2 linked regions of the Nothobranchius furzeri genome follow. The protein of the gene in region 2 interacts with the protein of the main gene of each other region in a pairwise test. Links are inferred from orthologs where the notes say so. Each region holds a gene or a part of one and is shown on either strand. Other genes may lie near its edges.

Region 1 (12,731 bases), on a different chromosome or scaffold from region 2:
AAATCAGTGTTAGGAGCTCTTAACAGAGCTTGGCCCTTGTTTAGATGGGCTCAGTGTGGTGTCCAGCAGAGCTCCGCTGCCTTCACTCGGTACCATGAAGTGCCTTTATAGGTTTTTCTGTTCTTTTGTTTCTTTAATCCTACAAACAGCTGTCAGAAACCCTGACACAGTCCTGCGCGTCCTTTGCTGACATCTGATTGGTTGCTTATTACCAAAAAAAAAATACTAGAATTAGCTTTGGTGGTTTGCATGATAAACATTGGCTAAGTGTTTCAATGTGAGAAATCAATCGATGAGTTAATCAAACCTTATTTCTGGAGCACCTTTCCTACGTCGTTTTGAAGTCGCTCAGGATGAAAGTATCTGCCAAATGCAAACATCAGTGTGTAACACAAAGTGCTTTACAGAAAGACAAACCTAAAAGAAATGCAACAAACTGATGAAATAACTGGAAGTTTTTAATGATCAAACTGTAGAGCAGGGGTAGGCAGTCCTGGTCCTCGAGTGCTGCTGTCCAGCATGTTTTAGTTTTTTCCAGTTCCAACACCTGATTTTAATCAGCAGGCGTTTAACAGGCTTCTGCAGAGCTTGTTGACCTGCTGAACAGGTGATTGAAGCACTGAATCATGCTACAACCTGCTGGATAGTGGCACTTGAAGGAAGGGACTGAGGAGAGCAGTTTTATTGATATAGATTAACGACAGGTCTGACCTGTGTGTTTTTAATACTTGTGATACAGTTCACCACCAGAATCCCACATGGCAACCCCCCAGATGAAACAAGAGCCTACGGCTCTGATAGGAACAGTGGAGTGGTCCCTCAATAATAACAAGAGATTGTCTTGATGCTAAAGGAAATGTGTTACTAGTGAGAATGTTTCTGTAAAGTGAACCGTATTTCATGTACATGATGTAAATATAGAACACTTTATAATGGATGTAAAATATGGAGTAAATAGAATAAACAATGGATTTAACTTGGGACTTCAGTCATAGACTGAACTTTATCTCTCTCTCTCTCCCTCTCACACACACACACAAACACACACACACGGTTTGAACCTGACATGTGGAGAACTAGACCGAGATTGCCAATTATCTCATATTTATTACAAATAAGACTTCATTGTTCATATAATGGTTAAAAAAAGGGGCTGTAGTTGATATAAAGCCTTCAAGGGTTCTACAAGCCCCCTAAGACACTTTACAACACAAGCAGTCATACACACATTCACACACTGGTGGTGATGAACTACACAGTAGCCACAGCAGCCCTGGGGCCCACCGAGATGAGGCTGCTGAACGAATGCCTCCGGTCCCTCCAACCACCACCAGCATCACATTGATACAAAAACTAAACTGGTCTAGACAAAAATGATGGAACTGTTAATATTTAGTTTCTGAACCTCGAGACATCCAAGTGATTTCTGTAACTCTTGACGTCTCGCTTGAGCACAGGTATTTTGATCCTCATGAGAAAGCCTCTCCAGCCGTTTCAGATTTGAAAACTTCCTTCTGCAGGTGTTTTCGCTCCTTCCACAGATGTTCAGCAGGTTCTAGTTCAGGGTTAATACACATTAGAATAGTTTAATGTTTGGTTCTGATCCACTTTTGGGTGTTTTTAGCTGTAGGTTTAGCCTCATCTTGTTGGAAGAGTCATGACCTGTGACTTTATTGGACCTTAAACAGATTTAAGACATCCTGGTCCAGATGCAGCATAGCAGGTCCAGAACATAGTCTCCACATTAGGTCCAGTGTTCTTACAGCTTAGGTGATTTAACAAAAGCTCCAGTTTTGTCTCGTCGGTTCAAAAGGTGTTCTCCCAGGAGCTCGAGCATTTAGGTGAACTCCAGCCTTGGCTCATTTTCTACCACCTGATCAACTGGGGGAACAGTTCCTCTTGGGTACATGAGGTCTAGGTGGGCTTTGGTCTCAGGAACCTTCTACTTAATGTTATTAGCAGCTGTGGTTAAAGGAACAAGAAGCTGCTCAGGGGTGGCTTTGCTGTCGAAGTGAAACAGGTCATTTTTAAAGCCTCTATCAACCTTCATTTTGTTCCACCCCTAATAAGTCATGCAGACCTCTTCAGTAAACAAATGTAATCATGTACATTACATCGAAGTCTCGTTAACATTTAAATGTTTAATATTTGTGCATATTAAGGCATCAGTTCTACACGTGATTATAGAACTAAAGATTAAATTATTCAGTTTAATATCTTCAACAAGACTTGGTCTGAGTTTTGATGATGTTTTCAGATGGTCCTTCAGAACATACAGCAATGAACCCCTGCCCCACCAGGAGGACTTGGTTGTCTCCAAAGGAATGCTGAGCTGGGCCGAGTGGTTCTAATGTTGTGGCTGATCATCTTTATAGGGTCATTGCAGTTAAAACAGAAATAACTCCAGATAGGTGTCTTCTGTCTGAGCTCATTGTGCTCCGTGTGTCCAGTATTGCTGGATCCAACCCAGACCCTTGGTGGTGGACTCTGCAGTAGACAGATGAGACAATAAGCCGACATGTTTTAAATTAGTGGATCAACTATTAGAGGTGAGGGAAGACTGACCAAAGGGTTTGTATTCACAGCCGATGTAACCCCGGTAGCCGAGGTGTTCCAGCGTACGAAACAGGTAGCTGTAGTTCAGCTCTCCGTCAGAGTCGGGTTCGTTCCGGCCAGGAACCTGGGCGACCTGAACATGACCTGAGAACCAGAACCATTCAGAAGAAGCCTTGTCTTATTTGTGCATGCTTAGCTCAGCTGGACAAATGTTGTCCTACATGAACATACAAGCCAGTGGACTTTGTGTTTAACACCAATAAATGAGGTATGACTCATTGTGGAACTCCAGTCAGAACCAGCGTAACTTAGTTGGAGCCATCTAAATGTTCTGCCCAATAACCACCTGGTTCTTTCTCCAGCCGGAGCAGCTAACACACTGGTTTACAGGGCAGATTTTGAAACCATGTTTGAATCTATGAAGGCAGATCAGAGGCCTGAGGATGCCAGAAACCCTAAACATTTGTATGCGAGGAACACTGAGAACAGATATAAGCTATTAGGTGCATATTTAAAAGAAAATGCATATAAAATGTAAAATTTGTCTACAATGAAACCAATGTGTTTTTTTATAATTGACAAAGCAGGATTTTTCTGCCACCTGGATGACAAGAACTACTTTTCCACCAACCTTCATCTGGGCTATGTTATAGACCAGAGCATAAGATATATTGGTCAAAACCAAGATCTAAAATTCAAAGCCAGTTTTAGATCCTCTGCCACCCATCAGCAGGAATACTAAAGAGGAGATGACTCGGCTTTCGTCGATGCCTCTGAAGATAAGACCAGACATGAGATCTCATCTGTCATTTTTGTTTATGCATTTAGCAGACGCTTTTGTCCAAAGCGACTTACAAGTGATAATCGGCATGTTGCCCTTGAGGCTAACAACAACAATAACAACAACAACTTGACATCAGTCATGGAGAGGAGGGAACAAGGAATGGACAGTAGAGAGGGGAGGTACGGGTGCAGAGAGGGTGCTAGGTAAGAAGATGCTCTCTGAAGAGCAGGGTCTTCAGGAGTTTCTTGAAAATTGAAAAGGAAGCCCCTGTTCTGGTAGTGCTTGGAAGGTCATTCCACATTTGTGGAACGATGCATGAGAAGAGTCTGGATCGTCCTGAGCGTGGTGTAGGCACTGCTAGCCGACGATCCTGTGATGACTGCAGCAGCTGGGACGAGACGTAAGCCTTTGCAAAAGGATTCAGGTAGATGGGAGCCGTACCGTCTCGGACTTTGTATGCTAGTGTTAAAAATTTGAATTTGATGCGTGCTGCTAGCGGTAGCCAGTGGAGCTCAATGAACAGAGGGGTGACGTGTGCTCTTTTTGGCTGATTAAAGACCAGACGCGCCGCTGCTTTCTGGACCATTTGAAGAGGTCTCACAGTACAGCCTGGAAGACCAGTTAGAAGGGCATTGCAGTAATCGAGGCAGGAGATGACAGTAGATTGCACCAGGAGCTGGGCGGCATGTTGTGTTAGGTATGGTCTGATCTTTCCTATGTTATACAGTGCAAAGCGGCATGAACGAGCAACAGACATGATCTTTAAAGGGGTGACAAGTAGTTCAGTTTTAGAGAGGTTGAGTTGGAGATGGTGGGATTTCATCCATTTTTATATGTCAGAGAGACTAGTTGGAAACAGGTGTTCATGCAGCAGCTGATTGCAATGGTTGAGACCTAGAGCACCTGATGAGGGGAGAAACAGCTCAATCACAGCCCCTGATTGCACTTATTGTTTTCAGCTGGCCCAAACTGGAGCTACAAGACAACAGGATTACACACAGATGAGTTTCCTTCTCTTTCCAAATGGAAGACAGTGCAAAGCAAAAGTTTAAGAAGACAAAAACAAGCACTAACAGACACTCAAGGCCCTTCGGTGCAGATTCAAGTCTGTTTGAAAGTGCTTGCAGTTGCTTTTTAAGCTTTGCTTCAGGTGAGAGGACGGCCCACCTAGATCACCTGATCAGTGTTTTCAGGGAGGGGAGAAACGGCTCGTTCACAGCCCCTCAAATGGACTCACCTATCAGGGGGAAATACTTGTGCATGTTCTGTGTGAGGTTTCCATCCATTATTTGCCAGTGAAAGACATCCTGAAAGAGGTGGGATGTTTAACAAACGTTTTCTCTCAAACTGAAACACATTTCCAACATACGCACCATTTGTAGCTTGATGTTGGGTTTTCCAACACTCTCCAGTATTGCTGCCGCTGCAGAAGAACCAGCAGAACACAGAAATGAAGGCCGTCAAATATCTCATTTAAAACATTTACAACAAGACTCGTCGCTTTCCCAGAATCTATGTACAGTCTGATTTAGGCCCATGAGTGTAAATGTGGAAATGGTAAACAGACTTCATACCAACATCCAACACTGGTGTTTATTTCAGTTGATTGTATTTTATCTCTTTTTTTTTATTATTTTAGTTCTATTTCTAAACCAGAAGTTTTTGGTTGTAGCTAAAACAAAATGGTTGAAGCTCAGTGTGTTAGAGAATGGTGGAAATCTGACCTTTAGAAAGAAAGTCCATAATTAATCTAAACTTAAAGGGGCATTATGGAAGTTTGACAGCCAAAACATGTATAGAAATAATAAATGTCTGCTTCATACATTCTCCTGCAATGCCCTGGTCCTGTAGAATGAGCCCTGGCATTTTTACTGTGATTGCCTGTTTTTCTGTAAAATCACAGAAAAAGAGAGCTGCTCGGGTCGAGCAGGCTGCTTCATGCGTGTTCACGCTCAGGCATAGCCCTCCGAACCGCTCGTTGAACGTCGTTTCAGCTGTGATCAAGGATATAAATGTTACAGATACAGAAGGCGCCACTGGCGATTTAGCTCCCCTAGTAAAATTTCGAGCTTTCATGCTGAAGCCCTGGGTTCGATTCTGGATGTGAACATGGTTGTTTCAGTGTTTCGTTTTTACATTAATGGTATATTTTTTTACAGTAAGATGCCCAAATTTTTATTTGAGACTCGCCGAAAGGCATTGAATTCACAGATATAAAAGATGTGAGTTCAACTTTCATTTTGGAACAATTTTTCAAGCAAGGGAAGGGAATGATCTGAGCATGCAGGAGGACTGACCCATCATAAACCTTTGTCGGCTGTGCTGAAGAGAAAGGTACAGAACCAAATTATTTAATTAATTAGCTGCACGTTCTCCTGTCCTCTGTCCTCCGGGCCACACACACACACACACACACACACGCACGCACGCACGCGCGCGCACGCACACACACACACACACACACACACACACACACACACACACACGACTGTCAGCTCTCAGAGCTCTGTGAAGCTGACCCCCGTCAGCTTCACAGAGCTTCGTCTCAGCTGTTATTTTCGTTAAAGAGTGTGCACGTACAGCATGCGCGCCTCGTGCACGAGCCTCCTATCGAAGCTGCCGTTATGCTTTTGGCCAGAGGGGGCAATCGCGAGCATAAAAATTCAAAACTCCGTAAAGTCCCTTTAAGAATCCTGTTCTTGGTTTTTAAAAGAACAGTTTGAAAAATGAAAACCTTGGTTTCCTTTTAAAAGGGTACAAAAATCATATGTGTGTGTGTGTGTGTGTGTGTTACCCTGGTGAGGAGAGTCCAGAAAGTACCTAGGGTCTGTGATCCTGGTGTTGATTGGTTCTATCAGTCCTGTGATTCCCTCCTGTAACGACCATCATTTGTGATTATTACTGATATCCGTTTATCTCCACTGAGAAGTTTACTGATCTATGCTGTGATATTTCACTCATGCTCCCAAAGCCCAGGCACAGTTTCTACAACTTTATTGTACCACCACTGATCTGCAGATGGACGAAGCCCCCGCTGATGAAGAAAAGTATGTGGATGAAGTATTCTACTGATATTCTTATGTTTGAATTTAGCTAAAATGTAAACATTGTGCCCAGCGACCCTGCGTGGATAAGCAGGGATCGATGATGGATGGATGGATGTAAACATTGTGATAGTAGGACTTTGAATGTTGAACTACAATTACTCAAGTAATTTACACTATATTGTATTTACAATTATATTTTTAAAATTTGTATATAATACATTTTACACTAATTTAACTTTCTCAAGCAGAAGACACGTCTTGGCTGAACTGAACAGCCTAAAGTTGAGATCATTACTGGACTTCCCTGTGTCAGTTCCTGGTGATCAATTATGTCCATGTCTTCTACAAAGTGAACCAGTCTCCTGAGAGCTGATGACATGTTGAACAGAACAGAAGGTATACTGGTACCTGCCTTAGAGAGGATGTCAGCAGCATACTTTAGGTTCTGCACAAAGACAGCCTCCATCTCCTTAGCAACCAGGTGTCTGTGGGAGTCCACAGGAACCCGACCTGCCATCAGGTGGATCCTGACCGGTGAGAGAGAAAAGCCTGTTCCTCCTGCAGGTGTGTGTGTGTGTGTTTACTTGCTTGGGCTGATAACTTACATCTTGCAGTTCAAACCTTTTGCATACTTTAAAGTCTGATCCAGACCCTGTCTAAAGTCCCCCTCCCTCCCTGGAACTGCTGCGAGACCAAGATCACCTGCTTTAACGTCTCCTGTAACACACACACAGATAGTTAACCACATAACTACAGTGCTATGCTGCTAGTGTGGAGCTCCAGTACCAGGCGGGGTGTTGATCAGGACCACCTCCACTCCTGCAGCCTCTCTGGCTCTCTGGAGCTCCGTCAGGTCCGCGTCGTAGAGCCAGGCGGCCTCCACAGCCTGAAACCCGGCCGCAGCGGCCGCCGACATCCTCTGACTGAAGTCTGGAAGCTCAGAGAACAGCCAGGAGATATTCGCACTAAACTTCAGTGGAGCCATGTTGGGCTTGAAGTTCAGAGACCAACGAACCTGCGTTCACGCAGATCTGGATGCGCTCGATTTATAAACCGGCTTGCCAATCGGCGCGCCGAGTGGGAGGAGTTTGTACTGTTTCACGCGGCTGCCCGCCTCATGCTCCGCCCACAAAGTGGCCTACCTGTTGCTGAACTTATACCTCCAACATACAAGTTTGGTTTATTTATGTTTCTTGCTGTTAGTAAACTCCGCCCTAAACGGATCATAACCCGTTCAACTGAAAAGGAACAGACCCACAATGCAGTACTCTTCGTCTGTGGGCCGTCATCTCACACTCACAGACCTACTGCACCACCTACTGGACTGTAGGTTGTAGCAGTAGACCCTGATCCTGGCTCAGGTATCCTGGCCTCACCTGGAGCTCGTGTCCTAGACCTATAGTCCATGTGGTCGGTGAAGGATGTAAGCTGCCCTTGTATCTCAGTTTGGAAACAGATCAGAAAGGAATTCACCTTTAAGGTAGTCTGGTTGAGAACAGAATCAAAACGAGAACAATGTGAGGATGGGCAAATGAACCAGATCAAATGCTTATCAGGGTGAGTCGTGATGACAAGAAAAGTAAAATTTTGAAGGAATGTGAGTGTTTGATAGTCCAGCTGCTGTTCTGAGGTACTGGTTCTGATGGACCATAACCTAAAGTAGACCATTTCATAATATGGTTTTTTTTGTGTCTTTTTCTTTCTTATGAAGCAATGTAGACATGCAAATGTTCCCATGAAATGAGTGAATTCGATTTAATTTGTTACAGAATAACCCAACTGTGCATTAGACAGGCTACAGTGATTCTGTGGTAAGTTTGCTAAGAAAGATCCTGTGCCGTAATCTCTCTTGTCCTGTGGGTCAGAAATATTTTCTGTGCCATCTGGCCACAGAAGCACCTTGAGAAATGCTTGACTATGTCTAATATTGGCTGTTTTTCCAGCATCCATCCCCTCAGGAGCTGTATCCTAGAGAAGACCATCTGGTGGCTTGTTGTAGGATTTGTTTAACCGGCAGGAGTTCTGGAGCCTCTCAAGCGTTCCCTCTGTATTACACAAATACTCCATAGGCTTTGGGATGGAATGGGATGTTTTTTTCCTTAAAAAAGGCCAAAGTATTTGTCTACAGAGAAAAACAGACACAAATAATCCGGCTTCACATTCTGGCTTGTCACAGCTCACTGAATAAGAACAGATGGACCTTTGAATGATTGAACGTTTATATAAAACCATTAACTGCAGTTTACACCAGGCTTTGCAAAAGCCAGCCATGTTGGATTTTAAAGGTGGGGCCGATGAGTATGGCCAAATCTCAATACTTGCCCTGCAGTCTTCTGTGCTTACTGCACACTTGTGGACGTGTGCAGTAAGGCTACACGTGCGAGGTACACAAGTGTGCAAATAATTGCCGAATTGGGACAGGGAGCATTGCGTCATCGACCACAACACATGCTGGGATTCTGGTCGCTGTGATACTTTAAAAACACTTAACAACTTTCAAACAAACAACCAAATATTTGAAATAAGTTTACATTCATTGCTGCTTTGTCTAAAACATACAGAGCATCAGTGAATTATCCTAAAATGAACTAGTTTCATTTAAAAATAAATATTTTCTGAAAAGCCACTTTGCTTTTCCCCTGCAGCAATGGATTGTGGGTAATACCCTTCACCCAAGCACACATCGATACAGTGTGGATCAAGAGTGCAAAAGGGGCGTGATCAACTTCCGCACTTGAGAATCAGGACACCCTATGCACTCGCATTCCTGGCCGAGATGGCGCAATTGAAGGGAGCAAGTGTAGAATTGGGATTGGTCCAAGTTTTGTTTGAACTTTCCTCGGCTGAATTAATCCCAGCAGCATCTGCTGGAGACAAGTCTCTTCACAGCTTCCAGAGCAAAACCTGGTCTCCATAAAAAATGTTCATGACCGTTTCTCATTGTTATCATGAATCACACAACAGACACTGTGAATGACTCAACTCTGTTCTACCTGAGCTGTGGAGATGATGATGACGAAACAATTCTGTAAAAATTAATTAAAAGGAATAGCATCCAAACGTGAGACCACCCACAACAAGAAACCTGAAAGACCCACAGTGCAGGTCTCCAGCTGATCACAGGGCCACAAAGACAAATGACACAACCAGCCATCAACACGTTTTCACTAATGACAATTTTACAGCAGGACTATCCAATGTTGGCCCTCCATGAACACCATCCTGTATATTCCAGAGATATTTCTGCTCAACACAGAAATATATCTAGATATTTTAATGAGCAGGTGATTAACAGGCTTCTGCTAAACTTGAACTGATGAACAGGTGATTCAGCCATTGATTCAGTTGCGTTGGAGCAGAGAAACAACCAACACTCTGGACGGTGGCCCTGGAGGACCGGAAATGGACTCCACTGACTTAATTAGAGTCACTATTAAAATGAAACCCACACATGTATTGGGAAAATGTACAAAATCCACGCAGAAAAGCTGAAGCTGGGATTTGAACCTACAACCTTCATGTGGTGAGGCTACCAACTTCAACATCATGCAGCCAGATGTGTTAATTGACCATTTAATTAAAGAGGGTGGGAGGAACTTAACAAGAATGCAGGGTGAGACAATGCTAAGGTTACATCATGTGTTTTCTGAGGCAAAAGACCAGCAGAAGCTTCTTTTTCCTGGGATGAAAATACCACCAGTTCCCAGAAGGGGATAGTTTTCACACTAATTACACGTCATAAACAAAACCAGAAACTTTATGCTGCAGCAGGAGTCTGCATAAACATGGACATGTTTTCGACTAAATGGTGTCTGACACGGGGAACTGTGCTGCCTTTAACTCTTACCAAGCGATTCTAACTAATAGGTTTAACATTTTAGCAGTTATTGCTAGTTCTGCTTTGAACTGCCTCTCTTCCGGTCTTGTGATGGGACATTTTCTGGTAATGAGAACAGATTTTCCTCTAAAATTGCCTCTCTAATCTGTGGTGTTGCAAAGTCTTGGGTCCATAGTTTTCTTTCTACAGCTCTACACTCCCTATCACACATGTTTTAGAAGATGTAGTCCAGTGTTTATCCCAGATCAATGACTGAATCACCAGCAACTATCTTGCCTTGTTTCCACTGAAACAGCTCTTCTTAGGGTCTCCAATGATGTTCTGACTCACAGTGATGCAGGGGACTGTTTTGTTCTGGTCCTGCTGGACCTGACTGCAGCCTTTGACACTGTTGACCATCACCTGCTACTGGAGAGGCTGAGAGACTGGGTAGGCCTATCAGGAACTGCTCTGGAGTGGTTCTCCTCTTATCTCTCTGAGTGCTCCTTTTCTGTGGCAGTCTCCAAGTTTAGGTCCTCCACCACCTCCCTTACCCATGGTGTCCCACAAGGTTCTATGCTGGTGCCTCTGCTCTTCCTCCTCTATCTGCTCCCTCTTCAGCACATTCTGAGGTCCTTTAAAGGAATCTCCTACCATCTTTATACAGATGACATCCAACTGTACATCTCCTTTAAGTCCCATGAGATGTCTAAGCTGCAGCTGTTACACACCTGCTTAGACTCTATCAAAACCTGGATGGGAACTTTCTTCAGCTGAATGAAGATAAGACTAAGATCCTCATCTGTGCCCCAGACAAGCTGGTTCCCAAAGTCAGAGACTCTCTTGGTCAGCTTACTTCTCACATCAAACCCTCTGTCAGGAATCTTGGTGTGACCTTTGACCCAGCTCTCACCCTGGATTCTCATGTCAGTTCTCTTGTTTGCTCTTCCTTCTTCCATCTCAGGAACATTGCTGAGTCCCATTCTGTCCCGCTCTGAACTTGAGACAGTTCTCCACACCTTCATCTCCTCACGCTTAGACTACTGTAACTCTCTTTTCACGTGTCTGAGCAGAACCTCCCTGGACCGTCTACAGGTGGTTCAGAATGCCTGTGCTCAGCTTCTGACCAAGTCCTCCAAACACACCCACATCACCACGCTTCTCCTCCAGCTTCACTGGCTGCCAGTCAACTTCAGGGTTCATTTAAAAAATTTGGGTCTGGTCTATAGGGCCTTACACGGACAAGCACCGTCTTACATTGGTGATCTTCTTAGTCCCTACACCCCCAGCAGGTCCCTGAGGTCCAGTGATCAAAGCCTACTGGTTGTGCAGCACCAGGCTAAAGGTCAAAGGTGACAGATCATTTGCTGCTGTGGCCCCCAGACTCTGGAACTCTCTCCCCCTGAGCCTGAGATCAGTGGACTCAGTGGTCTCCTTTAAAAAGCAGCTGAAAACTCACCTGTTCAGGCTGGCTTTGATGTGACATTCATCACCACCCTCTCCTTATTCTGTTCTTATTTCGCCTTTCCCAGGATCCATTGATTTCCCTCTTTCCTTTTCATTTGCTCTCTCCCTTTCCTTACATTTTTTTCCTTTTTAAACATATTTTTAATCATTTTAAAAATCTTTTTATACTTACATTTTTGTTTTGTTTTTGTAGAGCGCCTTGTGAGTTTTATCTTGAGAGGCGCTATATAAACGATTGTTTTCTTTCTTTTTCTTTAAACACCAGGAGGACCAAGATCATGATTGTTGCACCATCATTTAGGATCTCTCTTCCTTTTGCTGAAAACCCTAGTCTTGTGTTGGAAATCTGGGTGTTATATTTGATTCCTCACTTAGAATGATATTTCTCTCACTCCTTCCTCACTTGAGGGACATTTCTAAACTACATCACATGGTTTCATCTGCTGAATCAGAGAACATTATTCATGCTTTTGTGTCATTGCAACGCCCTGTTCACTGGACTACATAAATCATCTCTCCCATGCCTCTGAGCTGTCCTAAATGCTGCAGCCAGACCACTGACCCGATCCAGGAACTGTTTCCACATCTCTCTTGTCCTACACTCCCTAGTCCCTACAATGACTTCCTGTTGAGGTTAGAGTTCATCTTAAAATTATCTTTCTTACCTACAGATCTCTCACTGACTTCTGTCTTTGATTACAAGTTCAAGTAGTTCCTTGTATCAGATTGAGAACCAGAGAGACATAGCTTTTGAATCACCTCACTACAATGATGTCATAGGTGTTAGGATTTTGCCCTGTAATTGGTGGGTTGCAGGTTCAATCTTAGGCTCTGTCAGTCATGTCAGTCACTGTGTCCTTGGGCAAGGCACTTCACACATATTGGCTGCTGGTGATGGTCAGAGGCACCATGCAGTAGCATCTGTGTTAAGGCGACCTCTCCTCTGTCACTGTGTCCCATGGGCAACTGTGGCTACATCATCAGTGTGTGAATGGATGAATGACTGCATGGTAAAGTGCTTTAGAGTTCTCTGTCTGACTTTACCAGTGTGGGTCATTTA
Region 2 (12,435 bases):
CTAAAGGCTCACGTTTACCTTTTCCAGCCTTTTGTTGATCCCGTGGTTAAATTACACTCGGCAACCAAATTGTTTGGTAATTAAAAGTCCTACTAGGCTTAAACCAAAAGCATGTTACACAAAACACTAAACAGCGTAAATTACCTGTTCTAAACAATCAAATGATTAAAAATATGATCAGAGCTGAAGAGAACCACATAGGAAAATCCTATGAGATTATCACCCATAGCTGTGCAATCTGAAAACAGGCTATTTTTTTATCTTACACGTTTCACATTTTAATAAGAGAGAGAAAGAGACACACACACTCTCACACACACACACACACTCAACACAAAAGACACTTGAGAAACAGGATAAGGCTGCAGAAGACAAAACTGTTGGTGGCATTTCAGCGGGGCCTGGTAAATAGGGCTGGCTGAACCAGGAAAAAGAACTGTAAAACACAACAACAAAAGAAACACCACCGTTAAACGTGAGTCACTGGATCAGGCACACAGCCTGAAGACTTGTGTGTTCATGGTAAATCTGGAAAGTCAGCATTTCAATGCCAAACAGTGTGTTTTCATCTTGATCAATAACCGCACAAAATCTTACCAACAGTCCCACCGTCACCTCATCAGAACAGTAGATCACGATACACACCTCTGAGTTTTTAAAGTCTAGCATGCACATAGTTTACGACTTTAGGGGTGCGACAATCATTTCAGTTCAAAATGTGATTTAACTCCAAGCATCCAGGGTCTTGATGCTTTTTCATTAAGAATGTTTCTTAAACGACTCTCGTGTTTTCACCAGCTGATGTGTGGACCTGCCTCCCTGTGCACGCTCCCACACGGCGGCACCTTTAAGAGGGTGGGGGTGCCGCTCCCATCATGGTTCTAAACTGCACCCAAAAGTAGGTATTCACCCACCAGCGCCTGAAAACCCCTGCAACTTTTTAACTGTAGTGCTTTTATTTTTAGGAGACGAGTGTTTTAGGAGCAGCATTACTAATGTTCTAAGCATAAATGCATTTATTTATTACAAGCATTTTAGAAGGGCATGGTGACTCTACAGTAAGTTTAAACTTGCTGCTGAGTGCTGTTAGCGCAGGCATCAACTGGAAAATGTTTGAGCCTAATTCAACCAACTGATACATTGCAAAAACTGGTTTTCAAAAAAGAACTTTAAATTAAGCCTCCATTTTAGACATTTCACTTTATTTTTCATTCTAAAATAACCTTATCTGCAAAAATAATATAAAATATTTATGAATATGATCAAAATGTCTTGTTTTCAGTAATAATAAACCTGAAAAAGCAGCTTGGCTGAAACAAGAAGAGTCATCTGCTAGTTTACCAAAGAAAAACTAGATAAATTGCATTTCTTGCAGAAATGCTGTTTGAATGCTGGATGCCGAAACTGTTGCAAACATTAGAACAAACAAAAACATTAACATTTCAGTTTATATTTATTGTAAATCTTTAACCAGTCCACCTGCTCTTTTTGGACTAAAATAATAACCAATTATTTAGACGCATGTGAAGAAATGCCCAGCACCCTCTTGCCTGCCCAAAGAATTGAGCTGTGCAGCACTTTTTCGTAAAAAAAAAAAATATACATATACACACATATATATATATATATATATATATATATATATATATATATATATAGATGTCTTGAAGAGAGAGTAAACTATTTTACTGCAGAACAAAAAAAAGAGAAGGGAGCTTGCGAGTATGGGGCTGTTATTTTTTCTAATCTCCTGTTTGCAGCAGAGGACCACTTTCAGCCAGCAAGGAAGGATCTCTCTGCAAATGACTTGTCCACTACGAAAACCACAACACAAATAACAGAGAGAGAAGTTTACAGCTAGATTGTGAAACACAGACACAAATGTACATTTCCCTTTTACATACCTAGAGATGCCAAGCACAACATAAGCTTAGCAAAAAAATAAAATAAAACAAAAATAAAAAAAGGAATCAGCTAATGCTTACAATTCTATCCATTGCACCTACAAATGTGATTGCCATGTGGATGGCAGAAGGACTAAAAACAGACACCCACCTTCAGCAAAAGGAACCACGATCAAAGCTCTGTCCACGAAGACGGTGTTGGTCAAGTGCTGGGACACTCCCACTGACTCGGGCTCATGGAACTTTACAAAACAGACACGTGAAGTCACAGGCAAGGGAGAGTCACTGGAAGAAAACACAGATATGTTGTGCAAAGAAGACAAACAGGGAAAACCAACATGCCTTCTTCATGCTGCTCAGATAACTCATCAGGGATTCTTTTTCTTATCACCGTCCTAAGAGTTTAAGATCACGTGATGGTAATGTTGCTTTTATTAAACCCGACTGTCGAGTTCGAACAAAATTAAGAGAAAATATTTATGAAAATTGTGTGTTTTCCAAAGTGCTCATGATTTCTGAAGTAATGGATTCAGGTTTTATTATTGGAAACATTTTCATTCCTAGCTAAAATGGAGAAAACTTCCCACCAGTGGAATAACCAGACATAATTAATGAAACAGAAAGGATAAACAAAATTATCAACACAAGTGCATCAGCAAATTATTCACAACTACTAATGTTCTGCTTGATTGATGTGATTTATCTGGTTTAGGATTCAGGCACCCTGGGACGTAATTTTGGGGGGGGGACGGGTGGGACATGTCCCCCCCCACTTTTTCAAAAGGCAGTTTTGGTCCCCTGCACTTTTTTCCATCCAAAAACAATGTTACGCTCCATTAAATGGATTTGGTTGAGCACTAGGACCGAAACGGAAACCGGTTTACTATTAGACCCGCCCAAAAGCTAATCTATTGGCTCTGCTGATACTTGCTAACGTATTATTGGCTGTTGCTGCTGTCACTCAAGTTGGAAACAGTCAGAACGTGCTCACGTTGTTTTGCTAGTTTGGAGCCGCTAGGGAACACCGGTACTGAGTCACATCGTTAACTAGACGCTGTGTAATATCAGAGCTCAGCTCAGCTTCCATTACATAACATTTGAATACGTGTTAATTTGTGAGTCTTTGGTAGTTAGGCACAGCCAGGAGGCAGCATGTCAAGAAAACGAAAAGTGGATATAAGAGACTTCTTTCAAAGTCAAAACGTAAGTTGGAACATGTGACAGACCTGCATTAAGCTCAGACTCACCTCCTCCTTCACAAACATACTCAAAACTAACTTTTACAAACTCATCTCCTCCACATAACTGACTCCTCAGACACAATTTGTTCGTATTATTATAATTATTATTATTTTTATTATTACTATTATCATCATAATTATTATTACTAGTAGTAGTAGTAGTAGTAGTAGAAGTGTAACTTCAAAACTTTTATCATTTAACTTTATTGTAAACTTATCTATTGCAATGCATATTTTCACATTAAAAAGCTCTGAAAAATGAACAGTATCATCGTCAACAGATTTTTTTTAAGCTTAATGTCAAAGATGTACACTTTTCATTAGATTTATCTTATTTTTTCCATTTTTTTTTTTGTGTGTTGAAATGCAACAACTGTTTAAACACTTTTAAGGGGAAAAACATATTTAATATGTTTTTATACTCTCAAATGTTAGGGTGATGATCATGTGTAAAACATTAGTTCAGCATGTCCTCTAACACAGCAAATGAACAAACGGCCAGATCTCAGGAGTAGGGCTGCAACAACGAATCGATAAATTCGATGAAAATCGATTACTAAAAGCGTTGGCAACGAATTGCGTCATCGATTCATTGTGTTGCGCAACTCTTCCAAAAGCCCCCTCCCCTCCTGCCCGCCGTTGCGCGCAGACCGGTGGAGAGCCGGCAGGTGTTTGTAAGAGGAACATGGCAGAAGCAGCGAGACCCCAAAAAAGCAAAAACTTCTAAAGTTTGGGAGCATTTTCAGTTAAATCAGGCGAAGACATGCAACGTTTGTAGGTCAGACTTAGCATGGCACGGGGATACTACGGTGATGATGCAGCGTCTTAAACGCAAGCATGTCAGAATCATCAGCGAGGAAGGAGAGAGCTCGGTGTCCGGGTAAGTAAAAAACTTTTCAAAAGTGATTCACCCAAGCCCCGGATTATTACAGGCTAGACATGCCCTAAGCTCGTAAAAAAAGTCTATAAAATTGTAAGCGCGACGCTATTAGATAGGCGGGGGGGGGGGGGAGGACTCGCGCCGCTGCGAACCGGTTCCGCCGTCACATTCCCGCAGAAACTGGTTGATCACACCGGGGCCAGACTACTAACATGTGGTTTTACAACCACAGTGTCCTCACAAGCGAAAATGCTTTTAAAAGGGAGGGAGGAGTCCTAACTGTTGCTGCAGGCGTGTTGTGTGCGTGTAGTTATATACTGGTTAATATATTTTTGGGTTCAGTTGCTTTCATGTGTCCTAATGTGAGTCTATTTGGGATCATTGGAATGATCAGCAGCATTTCTTGATGTGACTTTAAGGCAGTTGCCCAGGGCATCATCACAAGGAGGATGGCATTCATTTACTTTTGTTTTATTTGGTATTTTTCAGTCATTTTTGGAAATAGTGATTAATTCACAGCCTATGTTTAATTTCATTTAAAAATTAGTTGTTTGACATCCCCAGTTATAATAAATGTCTACAGATGAGATCAAACAAAACAGATGAGAATTGCCCTTAAAGAGCAAGTCACCCCCAAATAAACTTTTTTTTGCTGATAAACTAAATAAACGAGTGTCTAATCGTGCTGCAGACACGTGTCGTCAATAATTTGGCACTTCAGTGCATCTTAGTTAAAATTTAAATATTCTGCCTAAAACTGGCAGTGTTGTGCCGTTGTCAGGTAAAAACTCTGCACTGTATTTTAATTTAAATCTGCCACCGCTATTGGCTAAGAAGTATGCTATGATGTAAACTGGTACATTATGATGTCACAATGCTGTCGTGAGCCTGAGTGTGTGTGTATTTGTTAGCGGCTCCGCCCTCTCGGTCTGCCAGGCAACAGCATGTGTTGCATTTTTCAAACATGAAGCGGGAGTGGAGTTAGACTCTGGTAGGGGTTGACTTGCTCTTTAAGCTGTTTAACTTGGACCAAGCATTTTAGGTCACAGATAGGTGTAGCTTAAGGTCTCTGTCTATACACCTTATAAGACAATTTAGGTGATGGCATGTTGGTTTTCTGCTATTGAACTGTTTTCTAATAATGTGTTTAAGTGAAGGAAGGAAGGAGAAAAATAACGTTTCCCTAGCAGTTTTAAAAAATGTCCCTATGTAATCCGATTAATCGTGTCGAGACCCCATCCGATTAATCGATTATCCAAATAATCGTTTGTTGCAGCCCTACTCAGGAGGGACCGTTTATGTATAAATAATTTTTATACTTTTGACTAGGCCTGGGAAAGTAACACATTTTGCTGGATGATATTTTGTCCAACAAATTGTTGATGATAAACGATATTGTCAACATTATCTAGACCAAAATAACCACTAATATAATGTTAATATATCATAATAATGCAAGTACACCCTTTAAAATGCAACAAAGAAACCTTCATTTAACATTGAAATGTCCAGAACCAGAACTTCTAAATGAATAAAAATAACAAACAAAAATTAAATAAAAAAGGAATCTCACTCCCTGTTAGAAAATGTTGCACCAAAAACAATAAAAAAAGACCCAAAACAATAAATACAATGGCCTATCCATTGTCAACAGCCAAAACTGCACTTCAATAAGGATGGAAAAATTATTGAGATGGGCACGTGACGTGTCAAGGGGTCTTTACATAACACCCCCCACCCCAAATCCGCACAAGCCTGCTGTGTCCCCCCCACTTCTGAAATCAAAATTTCGTCCCTGCAGGCACCAACCTAGGGTGAACGCTACCTTTGCTGCGCCCCTGCTTCAGAACACCCGATTTAATTGAATGATTTACCTCTGCTGCACGTTTTTTGCTAATTAACTCAATTTGTACCACGTGTGCTAAAGCAGGAACACAGTAAGCATGCAGGTAGTGGACTCAACGTGGGAAACAATCCTTTTGAATCAAATTAAATGTCTAAACTGCAATATCTCGTTCGTATTTTCTTTATTATTAAAAAATAACCCAAATAAAATTCAAGAATATATTATGCCAAATTTTCTCCAAGACGTTAAGTTTTGTTTCAAACTTCAGTTAAGAGATATTTAAATAACCGTTTGGGAACCCTAATGTTTTTCTAGCATTAAGCTTATTTACCCGAAGCGTGTTATGATCGAGGAGCGACTGGAGGCGCGGGTAAATATTAGCATTAGCAGACAGCGAGGCCTGCTTGTCGCTTTAGGCCTCCGGAAGCCCCGTCTGTGGGCTGGGAAAGCTTTACCTGAGCAAAGCACAAGGATACTCACTCAGGTGGAAACAGTTTGAGCTCTTCTATGATTCCGAGGAATCCAAAGAGAGTCCTCATTTGTTCGGACGTTGTGCTCGGAGAAACATTTGTCACCTGAATGACGTGCGTGTTAGAACTCATTTTTACACAGCAGTAAAAACAAGCAAGCAGTTAAGTTTGAAGTTAGAATCAAAGTATCAAATATTAACAGAGTCAAATTCATCAAGCGAATACAAGAAATGTCTTCCCCCAGATAAAAGGATGTTGATGAAAAATGCGATGGGTAACAATGCAGCTGCCAAATGGCCGCAACTGTCGTGACTACGGAGGCTGCTGTGCTGCCTTCAGGTGTCGTGTTTTACGCTGGTATTTTAGACTTTCTTTAATGAAATCTTGTCCGGTTCTGTTTAGGTTATAAAAGTAGAACACTCGTAGGTTATAGCGTGTTATTACAATGTACAACCCCACTAAGGTTTAAAAAAAGATTTAACTTCGTAAATATGGACATTTTAAACATAAGTAAAATAAAAAACAACAAAAATAAATGTTAATGAAACGCATTTCAAAGTCACTCTTACTCACAATAAGGCTTTTGTAACATGTCAATAGATAACCTATTTATGTAAGAGAGCTCCAACATAAATACAGACAGTATACTGAATGTAATATTAGCAAAATATATTTTCTGTATATTTTCGGGGTCGCGTCTGTCCCCACGACCTCGGAACCGACCCCGGTAAATCGGCCGAAAATTGATGGATGGATGGATATTTTCTGTAAGAATTGGCCATAATGTGACATGACTTTTCTGCAGTTTTATATCTGACATGTTTAATTAGAAAAATATAAACCCATGCTGTTAAAAGTTTGTAACTTCTTATATTTATTTACTTTTAAGCTAAAAGTTTTAACTTAATTTACTGTATTGTTTAAAATTCCTGCGCTTCACCTTCTTGCCACTAGAGAGCGTATGATTTGAGACGTTTGTAGCGCTTTAGCTAGCTGGTGATAGCTCTTGCTGCGCTGGTCGAATTAACCTTTTTGAACACAAATAATTAAAATGGATTTACTAAGTTTCAGTAGTTAAGTAGTTTTTATAAGGGAATGCGTTCTGACATTCTCGTTATTTAGAACAACTATGTTGTTCACCCTCATTTAAACCCCAAAGTATTTTATGTGCGTTTTATTTTGAAGGAACGTACAGGAAAAGCTAGTTGGTTGTGTCTTGTTTAGCTTTATAAACATTGCCTGTAGTAACAGTTTATGTCCGCTAGAGAGCAGAATCCTTCCCCTTGACAGGATTGAGTTGTGTTTTCATCCAGTTGAGCTAAATATAACATGTAAATCCCTTATAGATAGTAGGTAGGTATGTGGTATCAAATCAAATGACAGATTATAAATATTTTAATTAAAGTTTATTTAGACAAAGAACAACCAGTGAAAAAAATTGCATTTCTATTCTGTTGTTGTTTTTTATTTTTTTTTAATAGTTTACACTCATTGTGAAATCCAAATACATAAATGTTTTTCCTGATTGAAAAAAATATGGACCGTTGGTACATAAAAACAGAAAAAAAATTGAAATCAATATCTGTATTAATGTTTGAGTGTTTATTAGACGCAGTTGGGTATTTACTGGTCTTTGAACTAAGAACTAATAGTTTTATATCAGACATGTTTGATTAATAAAATATAAACCTATGCTGTTGAAATGTTGTAACTTAATATACTTATTTATATTACCTAGCAAAACTTAATTTGATTAATTAAAATCCCCTACCTTGGATGTAGTTTTGCCCTGTGGTGAGTATATTCTGGTATGTTTGTAGTGCTGTAACTAGAGCTAGCTACAGCACTACAAAGATGCCCAGTGATGCCCAGAACTAGCACCAGAAAATCTGCTGCTAGTTCCTGCTTTAGCTGATGGATTTAATACTGTTGATCAGTCACAGATGATTGACAGATTTATTGAGTTTTGGTAATTAATTGGTTTGTATAAGTGAAGACGTTCTGGTTTTCCCATTATTTAGACTAATTTACCAACCAAATCATAATGAACATTACATAACCTGCCACTTAATCACAGGTCAGTTTGACCCATGACCTTTCAGATGTAGAACAGTGACAAGTGGGTCTTTGTTTAATTAAGTCTCTCCATCATGTTTACTGGTTCAGTCTGACTTTTGAGCTCTCTGGTGCAGCAACTGAGTTCAGTGAAGAGAACGAACCTCTAGAGGGTTGAACAGACAACGAAAATAGAGCTTAACATTAATTCATTAGTGTTTACTTTGCTGACTTCAGTTTAGTAATAATTCTTAAACAGTGAAGTCTTAGATGATGTGATTGTATAGCCTACTCACAAAGTTTTAAATATGTGTCTTTCAATACATATTTATATAAAATCACAAGATTATTTTTTAAGTGAACAAATGTGTAAATATTGAAAATGTCAGTGATAATCTGGATAACAAACCAAAGAGACGCACCCCGACTGTATTTACAGCTCTTTTAAGACAGAAAAATAATTAGTTGTTTTTATAGATAAGATCCACCAAGACCAGATGAATTCCAGAAGACAGCATTACAGGGGCATTATGGAAGTTTGACAGCCAACACATGTATAGAAATAATAAATTTCTTCTTCATACATTCTCCTGCAATGCTCTGGTCCTGTAGAATGAGCCCTGGCATTTGTACTGTGATTGCCTGTTTTTCTGTAAAATCACAGAAAAAGAGAGCTGTTCGGGTCGAGCAGGCTGCTTCATGCACGTTCACGTTCAGGCATAGTCCGTAGCATTTGCTATAGCTTTAGTCTATGTCGCTGTTCCTAACACCTAGTGACAAAGCTAGCTACATTTTTGAGGACCCTTAGCTACTTTCTGTAGAACTTTCTTCTAGATATTTCCTGCAAATTTGCAACAAAATAGCCATTTTCGCTCCGAACCGTTCTTTGAACGTTGTTTCAGGTGTCATTAAGGATATAAATGTTACAGATACTGTGAATGTTACTAGAGTGTAGCTCACCTTGTAAGATGCCTGACTCCCATGCAGATGACCTGGGTTTGATTCTGGGTGTGAACATAGTTAATTTAGAGTTTCTTTTTTACATTAATGGTATATTTTTTCACAGTAAGATGCCCAAATTTTTATTTGAGACTCACCAAACGGCATTGAATTCACAGACAAAAAAGATGTGGGTTCAACTTTCATTTTGAAGCAATTTTTCAAGCAAGGGAAGGGCATGATCTGAGCATGCAGGAGGACTGACCCATCATAAACCGTTGTTGGCTGTGCTGAAGAGAAAGGTACAGAACCAAATTATTTAATTAATTAGCTGCGCGTTCTCCTGTCCTCTGTCCTCCTGGCCACACACACACACACACACACACACACACACACACACACACACACACACACACACACACACACACACACACACACACACACACACACACACACACACACACACACAAGGGACTGTCTCTGCTGTTATTTTCGTTAAGGAGTGTGCACGTACAGCATGCGCGCCTCGTGCACGAGCCTACTATTGAAGCTGCCGTTACGCTTTTGGCCTGAGGGGGCAATCGCGAGCATAAAAATTCAAAACTCCGTAAAGTCCCTTTAAGAAAAGACACACGAGGGTTCTGGTTAGAGTGTTGTTTTTTTATTTAACATCAGTGTGACGAATGTAGAAAACAAGTAAAACTTTCATTTCCTATTGAAGAACGATTGGCTGCTTAAGGTGGAAAAATGCTGATTTATTTTCTTGTCCATTAGTGCTGAAACTGATTCAGGGAGCGGTTCATATAATGCAGGCGTGAGCCATAGTGGTCCTCTGGGGCTGCTATCTAGCATGTCTTTGTTTTTTCCTGCTCCAACACACCTGATTTTAATCAGCAGGATAACAAAATGTTTCTGCAGAGCAAGGTGAGCTCATGAACGAAAAGCTGAATCAAATGTGTTGGAGCAGGGAAATTACTAAAACACGCTGGACAATGGCCCTCGAGAACCGCCACCCCTAACATGTTGGGACCAGTTTGGACTGGTAAAGGGTTAGAAGGAAAGAGTACGACACATAGTCATACAAATGTCGCCAATTTCTGTCTCTGTGCAGACCAGAGGAAAACTTACAGAAAAGGATTCCTGCAAGAACTTGTTACGCTTTTTAAAAACTTTTCTAAAAGGCCATGATAAATGTTGGATTCAGTCTTTAAAGTGACAGTGTGTGTTTACCCTGGTGATAGGGGGCAATACTGTCCTAAATCTTTGCAAGCAAGCATTATTTTTGTGTTCAAATAAGACCTTATCAACAGATGGCCATTAGGGTCAAAAATCCCTGGGAGTGCAGCCTCCAGCAAAATAACAAGAACATCAGACTCCCTTTCATCACTGGGAATGAGATAAGACGTAAATGTGTAAAACAATGACTTTTATTATTGGTGAAAGTTTAGTAATCATTTGTTATAAATCAGTAAATGTGTTTTGTCCTCACAGGCTCCTGTAGAGGAAACATGGCATCCAATATGGTGCCCCCCAGAGACTTTGACCCGCGTCCATGTATTTTAGAACAGATTTTGATGAAACTGCCAATATTTTCAACAACTGGGCATCTTTTAATTCATTTACAACATTTTGATGGATATTTCCAGAGATTAATGGTAAAAACTACACATTGTCACTTTAATAAACAGTTTGAAGTTTGTTTCTATAAAGCAAGACAGTGTAACTTTATGAACGTCTTCTTGATCTCCTGGTTTAAGGCAAAACAACACAAGTGCTCATAAACTGACTTTTTAGTGCCACATGATGCTTTCTGCTATGAACAAACTCCCTCTAAACAACAGTTGTGCACATTTTCCTATTAACTTGTTTTTCCCTGTGGTGTAAAGTAATACATTTTTCAAATGGATGTAGGCAGTTAGTCATGTGTGTATGAACTTATGTTGACTCTATGCATACTTTACTTTTTTGTAGTTATGTTTAGAACACTTGATCAGTTTAAGGTAATGAAAGTTAAACAAACATGCTGAACCTTTGGAGGGTCAACAGTCCCTAATCTGAGATGACACAATTGTGACAGAAGAACAGGTCAGGCCATAATGACACGGTTTGCTTCACGTCTACACCAGACCTTTAGGACACGATTTACTTACAACAGCGTTTTGAGTTTAAAGCCAACAAACATTTTTTGTTCTTCCTTCACTTTACCTGAAAACATTAAAATTTCCCTCAAATCTCAGAAAGGTTTAGATGTTTTTATTAGTGATGCTTTTATTTGGTTTATTTACTCAGCCTTATCATTGTGATCAGGGCATGGTAACACCAGCAGCAATGCCAGTCGATGTTTTAGTTCATGTTACCTTTTGAACGTCAGCAACAACTGGCCTTATAAAAGGAGAAGTCAAATGGCAAACGTTCACATCCACCAGGCATGAAGGTGTTTGTACTAGCTCTTACCGTGGCCCTTGTGGGTGAGTGTGCTATCATGCTCTTAACAACCATCCTCCATTTCTTTTTGCTCTGTGAGATAAAGCTGCTTGGATGTAAAACAAAAAAGCAAACTTTCTTCAAAAACGATGGATGCAATGAGAGCTTTTTCCAAAACAAGCCAGTAAATTCGGAAGGAGGGAAGAACATGTGCAGTTTTGCCTCAAAGAAAAAAAAAGCCCTTAACTTATTTTATGGAGCCTTAACAAATGTACATTGTCCTGCATATTTATTGTGTTTCCCCAACATCTAATTAACATTTTTATTTTTGTTTGGCAGCTGGTACCCAGGTGAGCTATGGTAAGTCATTCATACATTAAATGAAGAAATCTGTTCACATGTTTGTAGAAGGTTTTATTGTATTACTCTAATGTGTTTCATGTTGTTGCAGCCCCAGAGTTTGTTCCTGGAAAGACCTACGAGTATAAATATGAAGGGCATCTTCTGGGGGGCCTGCCTGAGGAGGGCTTGGCGCGGGCTGGCGTAAAGATCGAGAGCAAAGTTTTAATTGGGGCAGTAACCCCAGACAGCTACATTCTGAAGGTAAACGGTCAGGATTCACGTGTTTTCATTATTTAAATTCATCCATGCTTGAAATTAATTTCAAATTCTGCTA

What was found.
Region 1: the proteins of serine/arginine-rich splicing factor 11 (region 2) and hyi interact in binary tests that used the Homo sapiens proteins (3 or more experiments, as listed by UniProt). The two-hybrid records come from large-scale screens. The link is inferred for Nothobranchius furzeri from reciprocal best matches to the Homo sapiens genes SRSF11 and HYI.

Annotation. Positions count from the first base shown.
Region 1 is NC_091756.1:55,261,997-55,274,727, forward strand, and holds hyi (putative hydroxypyruvate isomerase), read right to left. Parts: upstream 7,439-12,731; 5' UTR 7,373-7,438; coding exon 7,174-7,372; intron 7,105-7,173; coding exon 6,993-7,104; intron 6,915-6,992; coding exon 6,800-6,914; intron 6,214-6,799; coding exon 6,135-6,213; intron 4,764-6,134; coding exon 4,714-4,763; intron 4,648-4,713; coding exon 4,578-4,647; intron 2,701-4,577; coding exon 2,566-2,700; intron 2,488-2,565; coding exon 2,429-2,487; 3' UTR 2,122-2,428; downstream 1-2,121. UniProt on the Homo sapiens protein: Catalyzes the reversible isomerization between hydroxypyruvate and 2-hydroxy-3-oxopropanoate (also termed tartronate semialdehyde).
Region 2 is NC_091748.1:59,485,797-59,498,231, reverse strand, and holds the start of serine/arginine-rich splicing factor 11, read right to left. Parts: upstream 6,663-12,435; 5' UTR 6,474-6,662; coding exon 6,352-6,473; intron 2,190-6,351; coding exon 2,056-2,189; intron 1-2,055. Other genes in the region: vitellogenin-2, read left to right, coding at 11,764-11,803, 12,099-12,119, 12,211-12,362. UniProt on the Homo sapiens protein: May function in pre-mRNA splicing.